3 linked regions of the Styela clava genome follow. The protein of the gene in region 3 interacts with the protein of the main gene of each other region in a pairwise test. Links are inferred from orthologs where the notes say so. Each region holds a gene or a part of one and is shown on either strand. Other genes may lie near its edges.

What was found.
Region 1: the proteins of ras-related protein Rab-2A (region 3) and TBC1 domain family member 16-like interact in a two-hybrid assay, tested with the Drosophila melanogaster proteins (2 studies listed by BioGRID). The link is inferred for Styela clava from reciprocal best matches to the Drosophila melanogaster genes Rab2 and TBC1D16.
Region 2: the proteins of ras-related protein Rab-2A (region 3) and vam6/Vps39-like protein interact in a two-hybrid assay, tested with the Drosophila melanogaster proteins (2 studies listed by BioGRID). The link is inferred for Styela clava from reciprocal best matches to the Drosophila melanogaster genes Rab2 and Vps39.

What each region holds. Positions count from the first base shown.
Region 1 is NC_135259.1:9,676,593-9,684,549, forward strand, and holds the start of TBC1 domain family member 16-like, read left to right. Parts: upstream 1-4,844; 5' UTR 4,845-5,004; coding exon 5,005-5,155; intron 5,156-5,763; coding exon 5,764-5,954; intron 5,955-6,573; coding exon 6,574-6,727; intron 6,728-7,333; coding exon 7,334-7,578; intron 7,579-7,659; coding exon 7,660-7,865; intron 7,866-7,957.
Region 2 is NC_135253.1:11,146,257-11,153,476, reverse strand, and holds the start of vam6/Vps39-like protein, read left to right. Parts: upstream 1-4,120; 5' UTR 4,121-4,359; coding exon 4,360-4,432; intron 4,433-5,447; coding exon 5,448-5,584; intron 5,585-5,985; coding exon 5,986-6,210; intron 6,211-6,563; coding exon 6,564-6,674; intron 6,675-6,930; coding exon 6,931-7,063; intron 7,064-7,162; coding exon 7,163-7,220. Other genes in the region: rRNA N(6)-adenosine-methyltransferase ZCCHC4-like, read left to right, coding at 269-463, 532-703, 866-1,014, 1,106-1,227, 1,403-1,478, 1,569-1,620, 1,707-1,951. UniProt on the Drosophila melanogaster protein: Part of the homotypic fusion and vacuole protein sorting (HOPS) tethering complex involved in endo-lysosomal vesicle trafficking and lysosome biogenesis.
Region 3 is NC_135257.1:22,261,172-22,268,513, reverse strand, and holds the start of ras-related protein Rab-2A, read right to left. Parts: upstream 3,078-7,342; 5' UTR 2,972-3,077; coding exon 2,572-2,971; intron 2,154-2,571; coding exon 1,912-2,153; 3' UTR 1-1,911. Other genes in the region: uncharacterized protein LOC120346693, read right to left, coding at 5,784-5,893, 7,148-7,315. UniProt on the Drosophila melanogaster protein: May be involved in bidirectional endoplasmic reticulum (ER) to Golgi trafficking. Together with Rab7 involved in promoting fusion of autophagosomes and endosomes with lysosomes, probably through recruitment of the HOPS tethering complex.

The sequences.
Region 1 (7,957 bases), on a different chromosome or scaffold from region 3:
AACATACCCCAAAATGAATATTTCCCGTACCTTAAAGCGATTTCCCGTCATTCCCGCTTTTTGTGAAATTTCGCGCTTTTTAGTGAAATTTCCCGTAGTTCCCGTCATTCCCTTAGTTCCCGCATTTTAGTTTTTGCAATTTCCCGTCGTTCCCGCAGTTTCCGCATTTTAGTGCATTTCCCGTAGTTCCCGCCGTTCCCGTTTCCCGCATTTTAGGGTTGCCCCAGAAGGGGCAGGCCTTGTCAGCTTGTTAATATGAATAACATAATAAGTATAAGTTTGTTTCGACTCCATAATCAGCATAACAATACATTTGACAGATAAAAACAAATAAATAAAAACTGATTATGAAATCAGGGGAGCAAACAAAACCTTATTTAAGGTTTATAACGTACAAAATATAAGATGGAAGGTTTTGCCAGGAGGAAGTGGTACGTGTTTACTCACCTAAAATTATTGAGTTATTTCACACACGCTCACATGCACCCCCCAGCCACACACACACACACACACACACAACCACTGAGAAGTTATTTAAGTAAGAATAAAACGCGATAAATTTAGGGCATACTATAGAGTAAACAAAAATAAATAAATAAATACTAGAAAAGAAAATAAAACTATTTGCCACACCATATTGATAATTTTGTAATTGTTGCCATTGCCAAATTGATCGATCTTCTAATCGTTAATCAAAATATAAAAGTAAGATTCTGTTGGAAACATATTGCCAAACTGATTATAGTTGGAGTCAATCAAATGCCAAGTTGCCCAACCAAAGTTGCCAGAATTGGGTGCATGAAGAGGTGGGCGAGACCATTTCATTCCCAAAATTAGAGCCTATTATTGCCAAATTATAGTCCAGATTGTAATAAGTAATTAAAGTTAGATTGTTATTTCACAGGATATCGGAGTCTTTGTTTGATCTTTTCCTTATGTGTTTTACTTCATTTAATCACTTTGAAGTAACCTGAAAAACAAAAAATAAAACTGTGAGTAGATGTTTCAATACCAAAGTTACCCCAGCCCACACTCGCTCAGCCCACACTCAGCCTGACATCAAGGGGTTAACCAACTATTTTACCATTTTATAAACGTTAATACATAAAAACTTGGTGGCTATGACAATATAGAGACCATATTGGATATACACAGCGCAAATGCAATACCAAGCACGGACCAGTTACCCCTAGTATGGCCTGTCAAAAACGAGTGTGGGCTAGCGTCTCACGAGTGTGGGCTAGCGTCACACGAGTGTGGGCTGGCATCCTACGAGTGTGGGCTAGCGTCACACGAGTGTGGGCTGGCATCCTACGAGTGTGGGCTAGCGTCACACGAGTGTGGGCTGGCGTTCTGACAGTGTTATACGGTAAGTTAAGGCATCCTAAACGCTCACAGATTACTAAATTACATATATCCACGTTTACCTCAGCACCAGAACCTCTCAGAGTCCGGCAATTGATAGCACAAAATGGCCACAAATGCCGGGAAAATGATTCAAAATCAACTGAACAATAATATCTCTAACCAGTGTTACCAGATATGACGGTAAACAAGCCTGAAATTGACCGTCGAAACTCAAAAATAAGAAAATTGAAATTTAAGCTAAGTGTCTGTTCTTTTTATGAAAAAAAAATGTAGTTATGAATAAACCATAATTGATTTGCACAAATACATCTTGTATAATAAAAAATAAACATGATGAAAACATTTCACCAGCAGATACACATTGTCTCGAAGGCTTTTGATGTCGAAATTCAACAGTTCATCGAAAAGAAATCAACGAAATGTTTACCACGGAATTAAATTATCATAATATACAGTATATGATCTTACAAATTTCAAAAAATTTTACCGTAGAGAAAGACTTCAAATTTAAAATCAAAATTAGCACACTCGACCGTTATCAATATTTCGCGGTAATGGTGTTCAACGTCAAATTTCAATTGTAAATTGAAAATGATCCTATGGTTTGTTCCTTAAAAAATTGAATAGTCTCATTACATAGTATTTCATCTAAAATATATTAAAAAATAAAAAAATTTTACCGTCGGGAAAGACTTTAAAATTAAAGTCAAAATTAGCACACGCGACCGTTATCAATATTTCACGGTAATGGTGTTCTACGTCAAATTTCAATTGTAAATTGGAAATGATCCTATGGTTTGTTCCTCAAAAAATTGAATAGTCATATTACATTGTAATTCATCTCAAAAATATCAGAAAATAAAAAAATTCTACCGTCAGGAAAGAATTTAAAATTAAAGTCAAAATTAGCACACTCAACCGTTATCAACATTCGCGGTAAAGGTGTTCCACGTCAAATTTTAATTGTAAATTGAAAATGATCCTATGGTTTGTTCCTCAAAAAATTTGATAGTCATATTACATAGTATTTCATTTAAAATATATTGAAAAATAAAAAAATTTCACCGTCGGGAAAGACTTTAAAATTAAAGTCAAAATTATCACACTCGACCGTTATCAATATTTCACGGTAATGGTGTTCTACGTTAAATTTTAATTGTGAATTAAAAATGATCCTATGGTTTGTTCCTCAAAAAATTTAATAGTCATATTACATAGTATTTCATCTAAAAAATATTGAAAAAGAAAAAAAATTCTACCGTCGGGAAAGCCTTTCAAATTAAAGTCAAAATTAGCACGCTCAACCATTATCAATATTTCGCGGTAATAGTGTTCCACGTTAAATTTTAATTGTAAATTGATCCTATGGTTTGTTCCTCAAAAAAATTGAGAGTCATATTACATAGTATTCCATCTAAAATATATTGAAAAATAAAAAAGTTTTACCGTCGGGAAAGACTTCAAAATTAAAGTCAAAATTAGCACACTCGACCGTTATCAATATTTCACGGTAATGGTGTTCTACGTCAAATTTTAATTGTGAATTGAAAATGATCCTATGGTTTGTTCCTCAAAAAATTGAATAGTCATATTACATAGTATTTCATCTAAAAAATGTTGAAAAATAAAAAAATTTTACCGTCGGGAAAACCTTTAAAATTAAAGTCAAAATTAGCACACTCAACCATTATCAATATTTCGCGGTAATAGTGTTCCACGTCAAATTTTGATTGTAAATTGATCCTATGGTTTGTTCCTCAAAAAATTTGAGAGTCATATTACATAGTATTTCATCTAAAATATATCAAAAAATAAAAAAATTTTACAGTCGGGAAAGACTTTAAAATTAAAGTCAAAATTAGCACACTCGACCGTTATCAATATTTCACGGTAATGGTGTTCTACGTCAAATTTCAATTATAAATTGGAAATGATCCTATGGTTTGTTCCTCAAAAAATTGAATAGTCATATTACATTGTAATTCATCTCAAAAATATCAGAAAATAAAAAAATTCTACCGTCGGGAAAGATTTTAAAATTAAAGTCAAAATTAGCACACTCAACCGTTATCAACATTCGCGGTAAATGAAATCTTTCCTGACGGTAGAATTTTTTTATTTTCTGATATTTTTGAGATGAATGACTATGTAATATGACTATTAAATTTTTTGAGGAACAAACCATAGGATCATTTTCAATTTACAATTAAAATTTGACGTGGAACACTATTACCGCGAAATATTGATAATGGTTGAGTGTGCTAATTTTGACTTTTTTTTAAAAGGCTTTCCCGGCGATAGAATTTTTTTATTTTTCAATATTTTTTAGATGAAATAATATGTAATATGACTATTCAATTTTTTGAGGAACAAACCATAGGATCATTTTCAATTTACAATTAAAAATTTGACGTGGAACACCATTACCGCGATATATTGAAAACGGTCGAGTGTGCTAATTTTGACTTTAATTTTAAAGTCTTTCTCTACGGTAAAATTTTTTGAAATTTGTGAGATCATATACTGTATACTATGATACTTTAATTCCGTGGTAAACATTTCGTTGATTTCTTTTCAATGAACTTATTAAATTTCGACATCAAAAGCCTTCGAGACAATGTGTATCTGCTGGTGAAATGTTTTCATCATGTTTATTTTTTATTGTACAAGATGTATTTGTGCAAATCGATTATGGTTTATTCATAACTACATTTTTCTTCATAAAAAGAACAGACACTTAGCTTAGATATCAATTTTCTTATTTTTGAGTTTCGACGGTCAATTCCAGGCTTGTTTACCGTCATATCTGGTAACACTGGTTAGAGATATTATTGTTCAGTTGATTTTGAATCATTTTCCCGGCATTTGTGGCCATTTTGTGCTATCAATTGCCGGACTCTGAGAGGTTCTGGTGCTGAGGTAAACGTGGATATATGTAATTTAGTAATCTGTGAGCGTTTAGGATGCCTTAACTTACCGTATAACACTGTCAGAACGCCAGCCCACACTCGTGTGACGCTAGCCCACACTCGTAGGATGCCAGCCCACACTCATGTGACGCTAGCCCACACTCGTGAAACGCTAGCCCACACTCGTTTTTGACAGGCCATACTAGGGGTAACTGGTCCGTGCTTGGTATTGCATTTGCGCTGTGTATATCCAATATGGTCTCTATATTGTCATAGCCACCAAGTTTTTATGTATTAACGTTTATAAAGTGGTAAAATAGTTGGTTAACCCCTTGACGTCAGGCTGAGCGAGTGTGGGCTGGGGTAACTTTGGTGTTTCAATGATTGGGTGAAGGGGAACGCGCTGAACTATTTATTACATGCAAGGGATGTATTGCCATTATACTGTTATATAGCGATGGATAGATGATCTATGATGACATTCAGTACCGGTATGTCGAATTGCACTGTCTGTTGCTGCAGTTCTCTGTATTCTATGAGTTTAATTTTTCAATTGTCAAGCCATATTTAGGTTATTTTTCTATTTAGACTTTAACTCTATCCAGCTATTAGTAACTTATCTGATGGTCCTGTAATGAAAGCATGGTGATCTAACTTTTGGAAATTATATTTTACTGTGACAATTTTTGTATGTATTGTGGCTGTGTGGCGCAGTGATAAACATATCATGTCATTAACAAAGTTCATCAAAACGATATTCCAACCATCACCTACACATCATCATCCACCACCTCTTGATGGAGAAATTGTTTACAGCAAAAACAATGTATGTGTTCATCCTCAAGGTCTACTAGCAAGCTCTGTAGAACATTATCCAGGTATGCACTGTTATTTAGGGCCATGTTCACCACACGAGTACCGCACTTCTAGTTGGCGTGGCACAACTACTTTTCAGCTCTTGCATATGTTATTCCTACCCCCACCTGACTACATCATTCAAAAATTAAGTCACTTCGACGTCACAGTAACATACAGAGTAACTGTCATTCAGGACGCACAGACAATCACCCGAAATGGAGTAATCTATTTCTCTCATACTCTCGTAACGATCCCGATATGAGGGAGATCGCTGGGGTTACTGAGTTCATTATCGTTGGCTAAGATATAATTTCGGGCGATTGTACCTATACTTTGGCAAGCCTTATGATGTGGTTGACGTAATTTTTGGGTGGCATAGTCAGGTGGGGGAGAGGATTCACATGTGCAAAAATCGTTATACTACGCCCACTAGAAGTACTTAAGGTACAAAACTACATAAGACCCCAAACTTTCATATTTGGCAATTACCAATTTAATTTGAAACTAAAAATTAAACCAAACCCAGCTTATTCGCTCTAAACAAGGCTGTGTACAAGCAGCTACTGGTAATTCAGTAATTGTAGGCCATTTTACTCACAATTTTAACTTATTACTTTCCATTTTTAAGGTTATCTAACAGTGTTTGCGAAAGTTTCTGGCGACGCGATTTCTCTTGTGCTAAATTGGATACCAAATAAACGATTGAAACATGGTGGAAACCCAGTTCAAGATGCAGCAGTTATCCCGATTCATTGTGAAAGTTTAACATGCATCAATGATATAAATCCTGAGTTACTAATTACTGCGGATTCTGGAAACGTATGATGACTGATATTATTTTTATTGTGTTATTTTATAAGGCGGTAGCCGCTGGGATAATTTGTGTGACTGATGTCAATATTTAAAATGCTTGGCATAAAAGATTTCTTGTTGAATACTTTATTGATTGTGGGATAATATTCCACCAAACTCACATTATTATTTTTTCTATAAAAAGGCAAATTGTTTAAGTAGATTTTCTTTTTTTATTTTGATGAGTATTCATTAATCATCATTTTGAAAAATACTTTCTAGTAGTAAACCTTTGTTATGCCGTTTTTTTATATTTTTAAGAACATTAAGTAATTTAGCTTAATAGGTATTTAACACTTTTATTCCGGTAAGCTGGGGGGTTACACGAGCCTAACTACATGTCCTTCCTTTTTTATGCCCAAACACAGGACGGTAGACTCATATGTGTAGAATGCTATAGATAGAATAAAGATAAATATTTTATATGATTTGAGCATCATGATGCACACTAACTGAAATACACTTGAGCGGACTTTTGAATTATATAAATAACTTTTAGTTTCATCATATTTCCAAAAATTATCCTTTTGAAAAATTTCATATTACTATTTTGTTTCTAATTTTAAATTGCTCTATTTTGTTCCAGAATATAAATCACATTGGAAATCATGTAAATGAAGATGGCCATAATATTGCTAGTATTGAAACTAACTTCAGTTTGTCTAATCCACAACCACATGGAAATGTAAGGAAATACAGTAATGGGAGTGCAGATTTATCTGATGTCAGCATTTGCAGTGGTAATATATATTTGTTTTTTTTATATTGGGCGGTATTAATTGGTATATGTAGTTTGTATGCATCACTTGCAAGTATATAATTTTACATATCAACAGGTAGGCTGAAAATATTTTTTTTGCTAGTTTTTCTCATTTTGTTATGGTTAACGTCAGTTTTTTGTTACAGTGAAACCCTATTGGCTTATCTAATTTCTATTGAGAATGTAAGACATTGGACTATTTCGTTCTTTGCTGTGACATTAGCCCAATATTCCCTAAACTGTACATCAAGACACAGTAGCGCATGACAAGATATCAAACCAAGTTCTAATTTTATAATAAGATTACAGTTAATTCTGTTAAAATCGATGTCTAGAGAGAAGTTTTTGAAGTTTCACCCCTTTTATGATAGCTTCATGTGCACAAAAACAAGCTCACATATTGCATTGAAATATGCATATATTACGAAATATTTCCTTGCAATTACAGTAAATGTCAAAATCAAATTTTGTATCTAATGTGTCACATGTTTTATTGCAAAAAAAACAAAAGTGAATATACTATGAGTTTGATAGTTTGGGAACCTTAAAATATTCCAGACCAAATATTTATTTTTGCTTTCGAAAGGTTCAACAGAAGGTCCAGACTCGAATCTTTCTGATGATGAAATTGATGATATAGATCCGGATGACATTGTTTTACTCACAAGGCCTCCACTTATAAATCTTTCGAGTACAGAACTCCATGAGATACAAAACAAGAAAGTCTCCAAATTTATGTATGAAAACATCCAAATTTTTAATGATGACAAAAAAGAGGACATTGAAAAACAGATCAATGCTAAAGATGAATTGCCTTTGCCTAAAGATGAGGTAAGAATTTTCTATTTGTGTTGAATAGAAGATAATAAACACATAATGACACAATCTTCTAATGAATGAACTTTATTTTAGGATCATCCGATTTCCCCACCTGTTATATATAACATGCAATTTCCTGAAAATTCAATCAGTTATGTTACAAATTCTTCCTCAAGTTCTTGTCCATCAAGCCCACTGCCTTACAGCAAAGGTCGAGTAAGACGACCTGCCAGAGATCAAGCTTGCGGCGTTTTTACTGTTGATCTGGGACAAATGAGATCACTACGTCTGTTTTTCAGGTAAGATGTTTTCAATTTTTTTATAATTTTAGATTTAGAGCAGTGGTTTTCAAACGGTGGGGCATGCCTTATCTTGTCTGCCTTATTTTGGA
Region 2 (7,220 bases), on a different chromosome or scaffold from region 3:
CTGAATAGGGTTGTAAATGAGGTTTAAATCAAATAATACTTAATAATGAAATTTGTTTTCCATATTTTTGAAACAATGGAGACTTCCTTAAAACGCTATGAATACATCTTTGACAGGACTTTGTCCAAAAACATGGTTATAGTAACTCTGACACAAAACATTTTCCATTTCCTGGTTTTTATCATATAAAATTACAATACAACAACATTTTATTGCTTCACTGACTGGTAAGTTGAGTGCTTACAGTAAATCCAAATTTTTTTAACAGCAATATTTCCTGAATGACCGAAGCTTGAACTTCATTTTAGATATTTTGTTACAACTGAAATTCACACATATCGTATGTATTGGAATGCCTTCACTTCATGAGGAAATTCAATACAGAAAGTATTTTTATCATAAAAACTCTGAAGATGTAACAACAATAATTGACAGTATTTTGTTAGACATTGACAAAAGATATGTAAGTTTTTATTGCATTTCATAACTACATTTTTCAAACATCTTTTAAATATAAGTTAACATTTTCAGGAACAATTCTCCGACCAGGATAAGTTTTGTCACTTTAATATGTTCAATCACTATTTCATTGATGAAAGTTTTGATAAACTGCGTAATTTTGTAGAGAAATCAGAATCACATTCAAGGATATGTTTGGTATTGGATCCTCCCTTTGGTGGACTGGTTGATGCCATTGCAAATAGTAGGTTGCAAATATTTTTATGTATTTAAGCAGTGTAGATAAATGTTTTCTCACAAATTGTTTGTGGTAGGTTACTAGATTACTTCTTTAGGTTACTTATTGAACTTGCAAAATTCTGAAGACCTTTTGTGGATTTGAATTTATTATTGTGTTGTGTTTCAGCTTTGAAGTGGATAAGTTCATGTAGTTTTCCTGAAAATTCAAAGTCCTCTAAAACTGAAAATTTGCTGCCAATATTGTGGATATTTCCATATTTCATGGAAAAAAGAATAACTGGAGCATTGCCATCACTACATATGCTTGATTACCAGGTATGGTCAGCTATGCTACGCTTTGTTAGTTAGATAAACGGAAACTTCAGTACATACTTAAGTCTATTAAATTACAAAAAAATCTTTGCAGGTGAACTACAATAATCACAATAAGTTTAAGAAGAAAATCACAAGCACTAGAATATCACCTGTAAGAATTTTTACCAACATTAAAACGAATGACATAGTGTTTCCAGTTGATGAAGGATACAGGTTAAAAACATTTTTTGTGATACCAACCTATTATGATGTTCCTTAGTGATCTTATCATGCACTTAGAACAATTGTCTAGTTTTGTAAATTAGCATCTGGATGGAATTATCGCTTTACATTTTACTTTTGTGACCTTATTTGCAGCAAGCTTTACAGAATTGATCATTTATTTTAGGTTCTGTTCTCGATGTGATCGATATGTTGCTGAATCAAATAAACATTGCAAAATATGCAATAACTGCCCATCAAAGGTATTGCCTTTTCTATTCAACTGATCATAATATACTGCATGTCTGCATACTATACTTGATAGTATTAATGATCTTGTTTTATATTTTTAGGATGGGAGAACTTATGTTCACTGCAATGAATGTAATTTCTGTGTAAAACCAGGCAAGTATCATTATCATCATTATACTAGGGAGGGAACTCATTGCATGAATTTCTGCCCTTTCTTATTTGTTAACTTGTATTTTTAGGTCGGAAACACTGCAAAAATTGTGAACGTTGTGAACTGGATGGCCATGAATGCAGGAAAACTGGATATCTGCTAGGTTGTCATCTATGTGGGAAGTTGACTCACAAACGCAGAGACTGTCCTTTAAAGAATAGCCAAAAAAACAATGATATATTACCAGCCAAGACTATAAAAACCAAAGCAAACCATGCCGTTTTTCACAGAAAATCCTCACATTTGAGGAAAAGGAAATATACGTTTTCTTGATGTCAAGACTGTAAACTACTATATTGCGACTGTGGATATTATAAGAATTCGAATATTCTAAATTGTTAATTATGAAATCCTTCACGTTACATTGAAATCTTTGTAGAATAGCATCATTTTTCTATGAGATCTTCCATTTTGAAAAATCGATTTGTCCTTTTATTGGGAATATGGGAAAATAATGAGGTAGGTCTCAATATACTGTAAGTTGAAGGTGTGCGAAAATAATTCTTGACCAAAAAGAAACGGGTGCTAACCCTATCGTTCATGGATATTGCGCTATTAATATAATTATACACACTTCTCGTCATTTTGATCGCAAGCGAGAAAAGAAAACACAATCGTTATTGAGGGTTTTGTCAGTCGAAGAATGAAAATCTTTGTGTGATATATTTTTACACCACATTATTTCGAATCTACCACAATTGGCGATTATTTATTATTAAACTTAAATTATTTTGTTTATTACTTGATCCCTAGACTTGCGGAACGCTTGCCAATAAGCATTAACGATGACTTGAGGTATGATAAGCTTCAAAAGACATAGACAATCGAGGGTCTTGCAATTTTGATTGCCGTGTGTGGATTGCGACGCTGTTGGTTGTTGAGCTTTGTACGGTAATCCGTACATTTTTGTAATACCGATGCGTCTTGCAGTCCAGTGCGCCTTACGTTTGAATACAAGATCAACGACATAATCACACTTTTTCTTCTGCTCATCCCAGGATACCATATAATTTTATTATTTTAATTTACATTGGAAAATCCATGACATGGTAAAATGGCTTCTCTTTGTACCTTATCATTACCTATCCCACTGTACCTTTATACCTTTCTAATCTTCTGGCTGAAATGCAACCATAATAGGTTTTGTGGAAATGCTTTTTATTAATTTTTTTTATTTTTTGAAACTTCATCGTTTTTGGCTGAATCCAGAATTCCAAAAAAAAAACTTACAATAGTGAGTCATTTGATACATATCTTTATCATATTTCACCAAAACCTGTAGGGTCACATTTTCTACAGGGGTGGTGACTTCTCTACGACCCATGGGCCGCGGCCACGGCCCATCTAATTGGGCCACATGGGCCGTGGCCCATCAAGCTATGGGCCGCGGCCCCATCAGGAAAAAATTCAATTATCTTACCGAAATTTTCAATTTTTACAAAATTGTCAATATTCGAACCAAAAAATGAACTCCTGTAGTATGTGTACCAGGTTAGGGTTAGGGCAAAATTTTGTTCAGATTTTTTACATTATAGTTCTATTATGAGTTTGGGGACTGTTTGTCTTAGCCAAGTGAATAGTTTCTTTACACAACTTGATGGGCCGCGGCCCATAGCCTGATGGGCCGAGGCCCAATTTGATGGGCCGTGGCCCCGGCCCATGGGCCGAAGAGGAGTCACCACTTCCACTCCACATTTTGGCCAGAACAGCCATAGACCACTTATAACACTGTCGCCCTTGAGTGGTGCATACCATATATGTACACACCCTTTAAACTTGACCATTCCCGCGTTTTATAGTATGTGGTATCATCACTCAATGGTGTTGTACATTCATCCAAATTCTTAATTTTTTTTTATTACTATAGTCATATGCAGTGTTTCATGTTGTGTAGTGTCTCTATTTATAGAAGTTGTTTTGTCTAACAAACTCCTTTGTACAAACAGTTTTGTACACTCCACCCTTATCCCTGTTAGCGCATCCACCCACCCTCCTTGCACAACTGCCTGTATAAAGGACCATATTGTACATATTTGATTTACCCTATTATAATTTATATATATCAAAAGGGGTGTATGCCGCACATTTGTGTTTCAGGCCAATATGGTCTTGTGCATACATCCCGTCTTCAGTATTTATAATTACTTACTCTTTTATATTGCTTTTACGAGAGGAATAAACATACATACATACATACATACATAGACTAGCCTGAAATTCTTTACCGGTACTTTTAAAAAACAGATTGTTGTATGCGATGAATCATAATGATGTTTTGAAACACATACCCCATTTTACAGGCGCCAACTTGCAAAAGCACTCCTAAAATAGCCCCGAAAATTTTGCAATGGTAAAATATGTGAAGAATTTTTCGGGGGTCAAAGGTCGGGGAAAGGTCCATTATATCATGGTCAGTTAACCATGATTATATTCAACCTGCAAAGAAACACTGCCGCTGACGCCGCCAGCGGCTCGATTATTTGCTGGGTATTAATGAATGCCTGCAGCGGTGGCCGGTGTATAGCTGTATAGAAGTCGAAGATAGCAAAGTGAGTCACTTTGAGAGATAGGTCAGTAGGTAGTGTAATCTAGCACTGTGACAGGCGGACTTTTACTTGCTAACTTTTGTCAATATTTCCGTGGACAAAGACCGCCTCCTAGAGAATTACCGTCGGAACAAAATGCATGATGCATACATTTATTTACCGGTCCTGAAGAGTCTACCATTGGCTATTGAATGTATCGCTTGTTGGGGTGAGTTGAAATATTATTTTTGGTAACATCCCGGGATTTCTGTGTGATGGTGTGTTGATTTTTTTTTTGTATCTAGCGAAGCCCAATATAAATTATCAATCATAATTATAAGGTGTGAATGGTACATGTAACTGATCAACAAATTCAGAAATTATTGCAAAATACTGAAATAACATTTAAGACTGTTTAATGATGAAGGATGGCTTCATCAGGTCTGGTTGGATATGTAGATATCTAATCAGTAAGTTGTTCGAAATGCATTGACTATTTTCAGCATTTGACATCTGGTCACTGGGCCAGCTGAAAACAAGCTTATTTAACTCTTGACACTATCGGCAGTGTTCCCTCTAAGGTGTGCGCGTATGCGCGCGCACACAGCTTTCAGAGGCTGTGCACACGCATAGATTTACTGCGCACAGACGTATTTCGATGTAATGTAACAATGTTCTTTTGTTCTTTTTTCACCCTTTATTTGAATTCAAATAAAACCATCTGTTACAATCAATTTCATTTATTATTTTCCATGTATGTTCATTGTTATCTACTGATAACATATAGCCTTCACTAAAGCATTTCCAATCTACAGAAAAACTTATTGAATAACCAGAATTTTCTTAATAAGCCCACCTATTACCCGGTTAGAACGCCAAAATTTCTTCATTGGTTTTTGCACAAATATTAGTCATTTCCAGAAAAGTGCGCACACACCAAAATTTCGGCGCACACATACTACAAAAATTAGAGGGAACATTGACTATCGGTATAAATAGAAAGATGTCAAAACAATATATATGCCAAATATTCTGCATTTATCAAACTCAATGCTATGAACATACAAAATTTATTCAAATGTCTCTGTTACGTATGGCCGTATTTCATATTTAGAATATATTCAATAATCAAAAATATTATTTCATAGTGTAATCAGGATAGTAAAATTAGATTTGGCTTCCACGAGTGACATAAATTGCATCAGCTCACTGATTTAATGAGTTCTGCTATTTGTCTTATGTAGGAGAAGAGAAGCTATTCAAACAGAACAGATTTTCTATAAATGATGGAGATGTGTCAGAAAATGATAACTCAGCACCAGATCTCCCTAAAGCAACTTTGTTGGTTGGAACAAAGCCAGGACATTTGCTTGTTTATAGTGTGAGAATAATATATTCATCTAGCAAACATATGGGATTTTGACATTATTCTGCTGAAAAATTATTATTTTGTGGTTTCTCTCTCAAATTAAGTGATGTTTGAATTTGTTGTTTTTAGATTAGATGAGAAATGTACAATTTCATTTCTGTTATCTTTAGTAGTGAATATCGTTAACCCGCCTTGCCCAGTTCTGTTTTGAGTGATGATTCTTTTATTTTTTCCTGAATTTAATGCAATAGGGAAATGGCCAGTTCGGTTTGCAAAGTAGAGCTTTGCTTATAAGCTACTTTTGCAATATTGGCTGTTTGATAATTGGGAAAGCCCATTCTCTGATATACACTCCTCAATTAACTATCTAAATCTGATAAGCCTACCTAGTATTTTTAAATTTTTTGTTACAGGTTGAACATAATCCAAATGTACATAACAGAGCTGAAGTAAAGTTGGAACGATCAAATAGAACATTTTCAAAGAAACCAATTCAACAATTATTTGTCTGTGTTGAACTTAAATTAATATTAAGTTTGTCAGATTCCATGGTTTCTGTTCATGATTTGACAACATTCCAGTTGATAACTACCTTACAAAAATCTAAAGGAGCAGCTTGTTTTTCTGCTGATCTTGAGGTATTTTTGATTATTAACTTCTGTGAAGTAAATAAGATAAATAAAGATAACTCATCAAATCATTTTAACATAACAAATTATGATGGTTATTTAATTTGAATATTTCCAAATGATGTTGATATGTGGCTAATGATGGATTTATTCATATTTTTGTAAATTATTACTTTAATTATAAAGCCATAATATCTACAATCAGAATTCAGTTACGGTAATTTAATTGCATCCTTTAACAAGTTTTGACCATTATCCACTGAATACTGATTAGCTGTTAGCTCTGTAACAATGTGCAAACATAGAAACAACATGATCTTGAAATACAAACTTAAAATTTATCAGTCAATTTTTATATACAGTCACGAACATCCTCACAAGGTGAAACTGCTCACACTTTAAGATTATGCATTGCGGTCAAAAGAAAACTACTACTTTATTTTTGGAAAAATCGGAGTTTTCATGAGCTATGTGTGAGTATGGCTTTCACAAATATTTGTTTAATACGCCTAAAAACACGGGAAATTTATATCTCTGAACTAGTGGTAGGCTTCCAATAATTTCATCAAGGTTGTGGTATTTAAATGGTAAGGTATTTTTGTTTGGACCATGTGGTCTTCTTTAGCTTTCTAAATAACAATATTTAAATTCTTTATAGTTATTTGTAGAGAATATATATATATATACACTAGTGATATCTACCGGTAACTATTTATTCCATTTTTACAGCCAGATATCAGCATGCCTGAGATACCAAAATGTATGGCTTGGTGTCGTGATTCAGTTTGTCTTGGTTTCAGAAGAGAATATTTCATGGTTACAGTGAAAGCAAATTCTGTTCCATATGAATTATTTCCTACAGGTGAGATCAATGTATTAAGAGTGGGTGGATTGTTACTCTAACTCGTTGTAATACTGCGAATGCAAATTTTGCAGTACTACTAATGGTGTTGACTTTCAGGGAAGCTCATGGAACCAGTGATGACAAAATTAGATGAAAACAGATTAATTTTAATGAA
Region 3 (7,342 bases):
CGAAATATATACCATTCAAAAAATTAAGTTATATCCAAAAAACAAAGTTATTTTTTGCCAATTTTAAAATGTAAGGATCAGGAAAATATCACCATATTAAGCTATTTATTTTATAGAGCCCCTGCAATATATGAAAAATTCGTCACCCAAGATTTATTCTTAATGAACGCCGAAACATTTTCTGAACACAACAGCACTTATTTCAGTCATCCCTGGATATTAAAGAACAAAATTTCCAACGATCAAAAAAAATTAGTATAACAAAAACTGATAAAGATGGATAAAGTCTAGCATAAATCAGACGTACCAAGGGATATTTATACAGTAGACAACATATAGGCATAAATGAAGAAATGGTTTACATAGGATGGCCCACTAGAGAGACTATAGGCTTTATACTTAAAAACAGTATAGTAACTTATCTCACAAACTAAATTTGAAATTTCTGAATTTCTACATTGTTATTCATATTTTCAAATTTTCCTCGAAACTAGGCTAGTTGGGCTGTGATTATAAATGTCAATATAAAAGTAGAATTTCAATTTCAAACTTGATTTTGAATTTTCCAAATTTCATGTTTTTATTCATTTCTCTAACATTTGGCTTTAAAGTAAGCCCTGTAGAAGTCGCTTAGGCAGCCATTGAAAATGTCAATGCATAAATAAAATTCTAATTTTTCAAAATAAATTTCAAAAAATTTGAATTTTTGACCAATCTACTTTGAACAGGGTCCTGTATAAGTCCTGCACCCCAGCTCGGCACATATTAGTGACAGCTGACAGTGTTTACAACATTATTACATCACATAGAAAGAAAGTAGTCAGTTTTATTTATAGCATTAAAAAGGAAAGTACGGCAGAAAGTCAACATTTTTATATGGATAATATTATATATCCTACATACAGCAAAGTTTTTCTCTCAGGTCACATTTTCAAATTCTCAAGATCGAACAAAAAAAATTCAACCAATTAAATTAAGCAGAACTGGCATCTTTATTTTAGGATTTAAAACTCATAAGAAAAACAGCGCTACCATGACTAAGTATTGATCTGAAAATATAACTAAATGCAGAAATGTAATTAAATCTCTAAATTAAGCGAAATACCAATATTTCAAACTGAAATCAGTGCTACCACGAAAACAGATAGGACTGCAAATTGTAAGAAAAGTTTTCCACATTTTAACAGACATATAGACTTATACAAGGAAACTTTAATAGTGCAAGAAACAAATATATACAAAGGCCAGTGGACACGTACTTAAAACCGTTTTGCAAACCACACAGAGTTTCTCAGATGAATAATGAAACATGCCACCAACTCAGTCAAAAAATCTTGCTAGATTTACCTATTTATTGTTTATAATTGGTTAATAATTCTTATTCGTGACATTAACTGGAGCGAAGGGTGTAATTCGCTATATAATTAAGCAGTCTTTCCTGATAAATATAAAAAATTTGAATATATTGGAATCAGTCGAGTCAAATAAATGAAAGAACTGTGGAATTTTTTTTGATTATCGGGAGCCTTTAAACCAGGACAAAGTTTTAGACTTCTAAAGTAAAAGTATGAATTGTCAATTGTGCAGCAAGATTCTTGAATGTCTTAGAATAGCGATCTTTGATTGTTACAGCCTCCTTGCATTACAAATCCACCAGTGCAAAAGCATAAGTTGGTCCCACAGACACATACTTTTTATAAATGTCATAATTTTTTTATTTCAAACATGGATGAATAAAACCCAACACAGAACAGACAATTATAAGAAACTCTGGTGGTAGCACAGTAAGCAGGGTTGGCTTAAACATCATTATTAAAGCCTTTTTATACATTAAAAATGCTATTGCAAAAGAAATCCCGCTAATTTTGTCAGTAAGTCTTTATTTTAACCACTTTAATATGAGAGGAAATCTTAACAGCATCCCCCACCGTCGCTCTGTTGCCGGGGACGATTCCCTGAAAGGCCTGATGATGAAGGGGAGTGTTGGGGGCCAATTTTAATCCCGTTTGCTTCATTGTTGATGTCAAAAACCCCTTCCTGAATTTTTTCGTAAATCTCTTTGGCTGTATCAATGAATGCATCTTCTACGTTTGCCGCTGTCTTTGCAGATGTCTCCATGAATACGAGACCATGCTCCCGTGCAAACGCTTCTCCTAAAAATAAAAAAATTATTCAATAAAAGTCCTACTAAAAATATGTATATGTAACTAATTATGCACATTATATGCCATGTAAGTTTGTGTAAAAAAATACATTTTATAAACATAACTTGCAGAGTTACAAAAGCAAAACAATAAGCCAATAATTTAATCGCAATCTTAACAAATTCCTTGAGCTATTTTTTAGCTGATATATCTAAGTTTGGCTGTGGAAGCATCAGGCGGGCCAGATTGAATTATCCAATGGGCCCGATTTGGCCCATGGGCTGCAGTTTGCCCATGCCAGGTTCAGAAAGACAGTGTGTGTAAGGTGGTTGGCATTAGATTTGGTGGCTTAAAACTAGAAAAAACGACATTCGAATTAGCAAGCGTCGCATAGAAAAATTTAAAAAACAGATATTGATCCTTATACCTTCTTCCTTTTTGACTTCACGCCGAGCTTCTAGATCGCTTTTATTTCCAATTAACATGATAACCATATTAGATGAGGAATGTTGTCGAGCGTCCTCTAGCCACGTCGTCAGATGGTTGAAAGTATCACGTCTTGTGATGTCATAAACGAGTAGAGCGCCTGCGGCTCCACGATAATATGACCTTGTGATTGAACGAAATGACTCTTGGCCTGCTGTATCCCAGATTTGTAGTTTTATCTGTTTTCCGTCAATTGTGATCATCCGAGCGCCGAATTCGACACCGATCGTTAAATCGTGGACAGGTTGAAATCTTTTGTCGGTAAATTGTAACAGAAGACACGACTTTCCGACGCCGGTATCTCCGATGATAATATATTTGAACAAATATGCGTACGACATTTTGCAAAATTCAAAAAATACGACAATTCTAATGAGGATACGTAAATCACCAAGATTATTTAAACTAAATTTGAAGTCTGGAAAAATTTTTATAATAAGCTTTTTATCATAACAAAAAGAGATCAAGTTTCAGATTTTACCTATGAGTGCGATACTATTTCTGCGGATAGATTAAACTTGACTTCTACCAGTCTACTGTGTTAGAAACTCAAAATCTCACTGAATAAACATGTGTCTGGAAACATTTAGTGTATGTATAGCCTACCACACATAAGATTATTTACACTCCAAAACTGCATAAGTTGCAAAACATCTGGTGAAACTGTAAAATGAATATCAAAACTGATTACATACCTACTGGCATAGTATTATTAGGACTTTAAGAGATACACAATCTGACAATTCAGCAATTTAAATTAAAAGTTGTTACCAGAAGAAACAGTGTGTGTTGACTCGCCTTAAAGCAGAGCAGCAGAGTGTAGCAACTGCCAGACTTCTGATACAGTTGGCCTGTGACCGCACGAGCCAATTTACAAATTCGGAAACTAGCGTTTCTCCCGCATTTTCCTTAACAGGCTAGACTATATCTTATGCAATTAACGACTCTTTGAATACAAAACCTGATGCCACCACATTAAATTAACACTGCGTGACTCACAAATCATTTTTAAAAAGTGTGTTTCCCATGGGCAGACTGGTTACACAACAGCTTGCCTGTTTCCGGTCATTAATGCTCGCAGACATGCGCGCAACGGGGTCCTATTGATGAGATAATTACAATACATAAGCCGTCCTATATTAACAGAATATTTGAACAACGCTAACAGCTTTTTATCTCTCATTAAAATGGGATTAAAATTGTTTATTTGAGCGAAAATCGATTGGTATAAGCAAGGCAATCCATCAACCAGACCTTCGCAGTTCACAAAGCAACATACGTTGTGGTGGTGTAAGGAGCGTGATCGAAAACTGACAATGCTGTGCTGGGTTACTCATTTATTCAAGACATTTAAAACGACATATAATATGAGATAGAATTTTCTTATTTCCAAAAGGTAAGCCGATATTAAAGTTCAAATAACCTGTGGCCTCTAACCCGGTTAGCGGTACCAGTCTATAGCTTTCTACATCCATGCAATAGATGACTCCAACCACTAATAACTACGACGTTGCGTGCGTCATGCACCAAGAATTACGTGACGTGACAATCGTATTGACGACGTTAAAATACCGTTGCCAAATAGTATTGCTTTGAAGCATGTGTGATTAGGAAAAACAAGCTGGTCTCGCTTACACTAGAAATTTCAATTGTTACTTCAAACCACAGCGCCAACAGAAGATTCGAGAGATTCTTTCGCGACCCCTCATCAACTGCTAGGAGTCGAAATGTTTTTCGTTTTTTTTTTATTAGGATAGGAACATTTACATATTTATCCCGGGGGAGAGAAAAGCCGACAAGACGGCTTATCCATATGGCGAACCACGGCCTCTCGTCCGGTTACCATTCCAAGTCGGGTATGGGATTAGTTTTACTGTATTTTTCTTTTTCTTTTCGGAAGCATGGACTTGGTGGTGGAGGAAGCCGTAACCGACCAGCGGTTACGTGAACCACCCAACGACGGCGAGGAATCCAGCAATCCTCTCGCACATAACCATCCCTGCATGGGATTCGAACCTGCGAACCCACGCAGAGTAGTTAGAGGTGCGGTGGCGAGCGTATTCCTAACGCTTAGCCCGTTGAGCCACACCGCCGCGCCGTATTACATGTGTATTGTCGTGAAAAAATATCTGAATCTGATATGACCACGGTTTAACTATGCAAATTAAAATGCTCTTCCCAAGTTTAGTTTGTGATATGGATAATAACTGAAAATTCTGATTTTGTGATACAAAATAAATTTGTCTTTACTTTTTTTAGGTAACTTAACTTCACGAGCCGTGCCACTGCGGCCGCATTGGTTGCAGTGGCACAAGGCCGGCTCTTCTACGATTTTTGCAAAAGATAAATGCGCTTCGACACGGAATGGAGTCAAATACGGGATATAATTTACATATTAATCCATGGGGGTAGGAAAGCCGCCAAGACGACCCAATCATATGGCGAACCAAAGCCTGCCTCTCGTCCAATTGCCAGTTCATGTCAGGCATGGGATTAGTTCGCCAGTCATTTGTTTTCAGATGGGAGAACCCGTGACCGGCCAGCGATTACGGGAAGCACCCTACGGCGGCGAGGAGTCGAGGAATTCTTTTTCACATCCAGGAGTTCTTTCTCTCATCCCTACATGGGATTCGAACCTGCAAACCCACGCAGGGTAATCATAGGTGCGGTGGCGAGCGTATTCCTTACCCTTAGCTCGATGCGCCACACTTCCTGAGCCCACCTCAGAGTCAACGACTCGAAGTTGTTGTAACTAAGCCGTTTGGTCGCCCCACGTGATTATTGTGATCTGACTTTGCCCGATTTGGCTCGTCCAAATCTCTGCTCTCTAAGTCTCTAAAAACAGTGGTTTATCCTGCGACCTATTTCTCAAATATTGTAGTAGACGCCCATTCATAAAAGTACAAGATTAAAAAAATAAATATATATTTGGTAACTAAAACATGGAAACGTATTGCCAGTAATATAATAATGATATGCATAAAATCTTATTGGATTCTCTTCAAATGAATAGTATGGGCTCAGTGTTGAGTTATTACATATATATATTGAAATATAATATCAGTAGCTAATGGTCAGCGGATCAGTTTCTTAAATTTCTCGCATTTTTGCACTTCTAGCTTATTAGCAATTAAAACGAACTCTAGCATAAGTTTATAAATAAAAAAGGCAAAAAAATTGTAAAATAGGAATTATCAGAATAAAGCTGGTCGTTGATAAACGAGTTGCTTGACCAGTTGTTGCAGTTGTCGACGACACTGTGACTAAATACAAAAGTCTTGTGATTAAACGCTGGATTTAGGAGTGTGAAACGCTGTTTGAGTGACATCTTGTGTCCCATCACTAATTAATTAATAACTCCCTAATTATACGACATTATTCGCGCCAAATCAATAGGCTGATAAGATAAATGCACATGCAAAATCCGGAGCAGATTCAATCTCTTATTCGTGAGATATCGCGTGCATCTAACAGACAAACAGACAAATACCTATCAACCTACTTACCGATTAAAATCTATAAGTAATAACACTGGAATGATGAATAGGGGGATCTATAAGCCACGCGCCCTAGAATGTTAGAAACCACTGGTGTAGAAGTCGCAGATTCAAAATCTCAGATTCAAATCCCATGTCCACCATGTCACCCGGAGTATAATAAAGTTGGTGAGCGATCCCAAACCAAAAAGATTAGAATTGAAACCAATACTAGGATAAGATTAACGTACTACCCCGGAGAGAACAAGAACGATGAGACAGATGGCTTAATCCCATGGCAAACCACGGCCTCTCGTCCGGTTACCAGTCCATGTCGTGTATGGGATTAGTTAGCCAGGTATTTGTTTTCGGAAGCATGGACTTGATTCCGGTTCTTTTTTAAATAGTAAGTCCTAGTGTCAGTGGTACTTGTAACTCGAAGTGAAAGGCAAAAAAAACTTCGTGTAAAATACTGCTTAGCGATTCGCCTGGTTTTCCGGAAAGCTGTTTAGTGTTTAGTTCACCCATTGACGTTTATTTTAGTATTTACGTCCAATATAACTCTGGGTTTGAATCTATTCGTAGATGTCAGTTTTCTACAAAGCCCACACTGATATTACGACGTCTAACACATGGTATTTCCAACCTAATAATGAGTTTGAAGACTATTTGTAGTATCCACTTTGCAAAGGCCTAAAAATTACGTTTAACGCTTTTAACAATGTATAACCATGAATGTCAGACAAATCCATCAATTTTTATTACATTGCAACGGCATTCAGACAAAGTCAAACTGGCGTATTACGACAGTTTGTGAGGTTACTTATCCACGTCTTACTTCCCCAATTGACGTCTTTCCGGAAAACCTCAGTGTGATGATATTTTACAAAATGCCAATCCGGAAGAATCCCGGTTTTACTAAAATATGGTAACTCTTAAACATATCAGCGTTGTTTGTACAGTGCCTTGTTCCAAGTGGAGAGAGTGAAAAGCCCTCCCCCCTCAAAGAAAAAAAAAAATTAAATCGCCAATCCTTCCTACCTTTTCTTCCATGAGGGGATATATGCTTTATCTTCGGTGAAGACGTTGGGTAAATTCTTCCTTCTGTAGTACGAGCGATATATCTTGGAGTACGAGTGCTTCGCCACCATTCCCACCAGTTTCCACTTGGAGTCGCTATATTGCTAGCAGTCGTCGATTTTGTTGAAGCTAGAATTGAATAGGATTTACAAATAT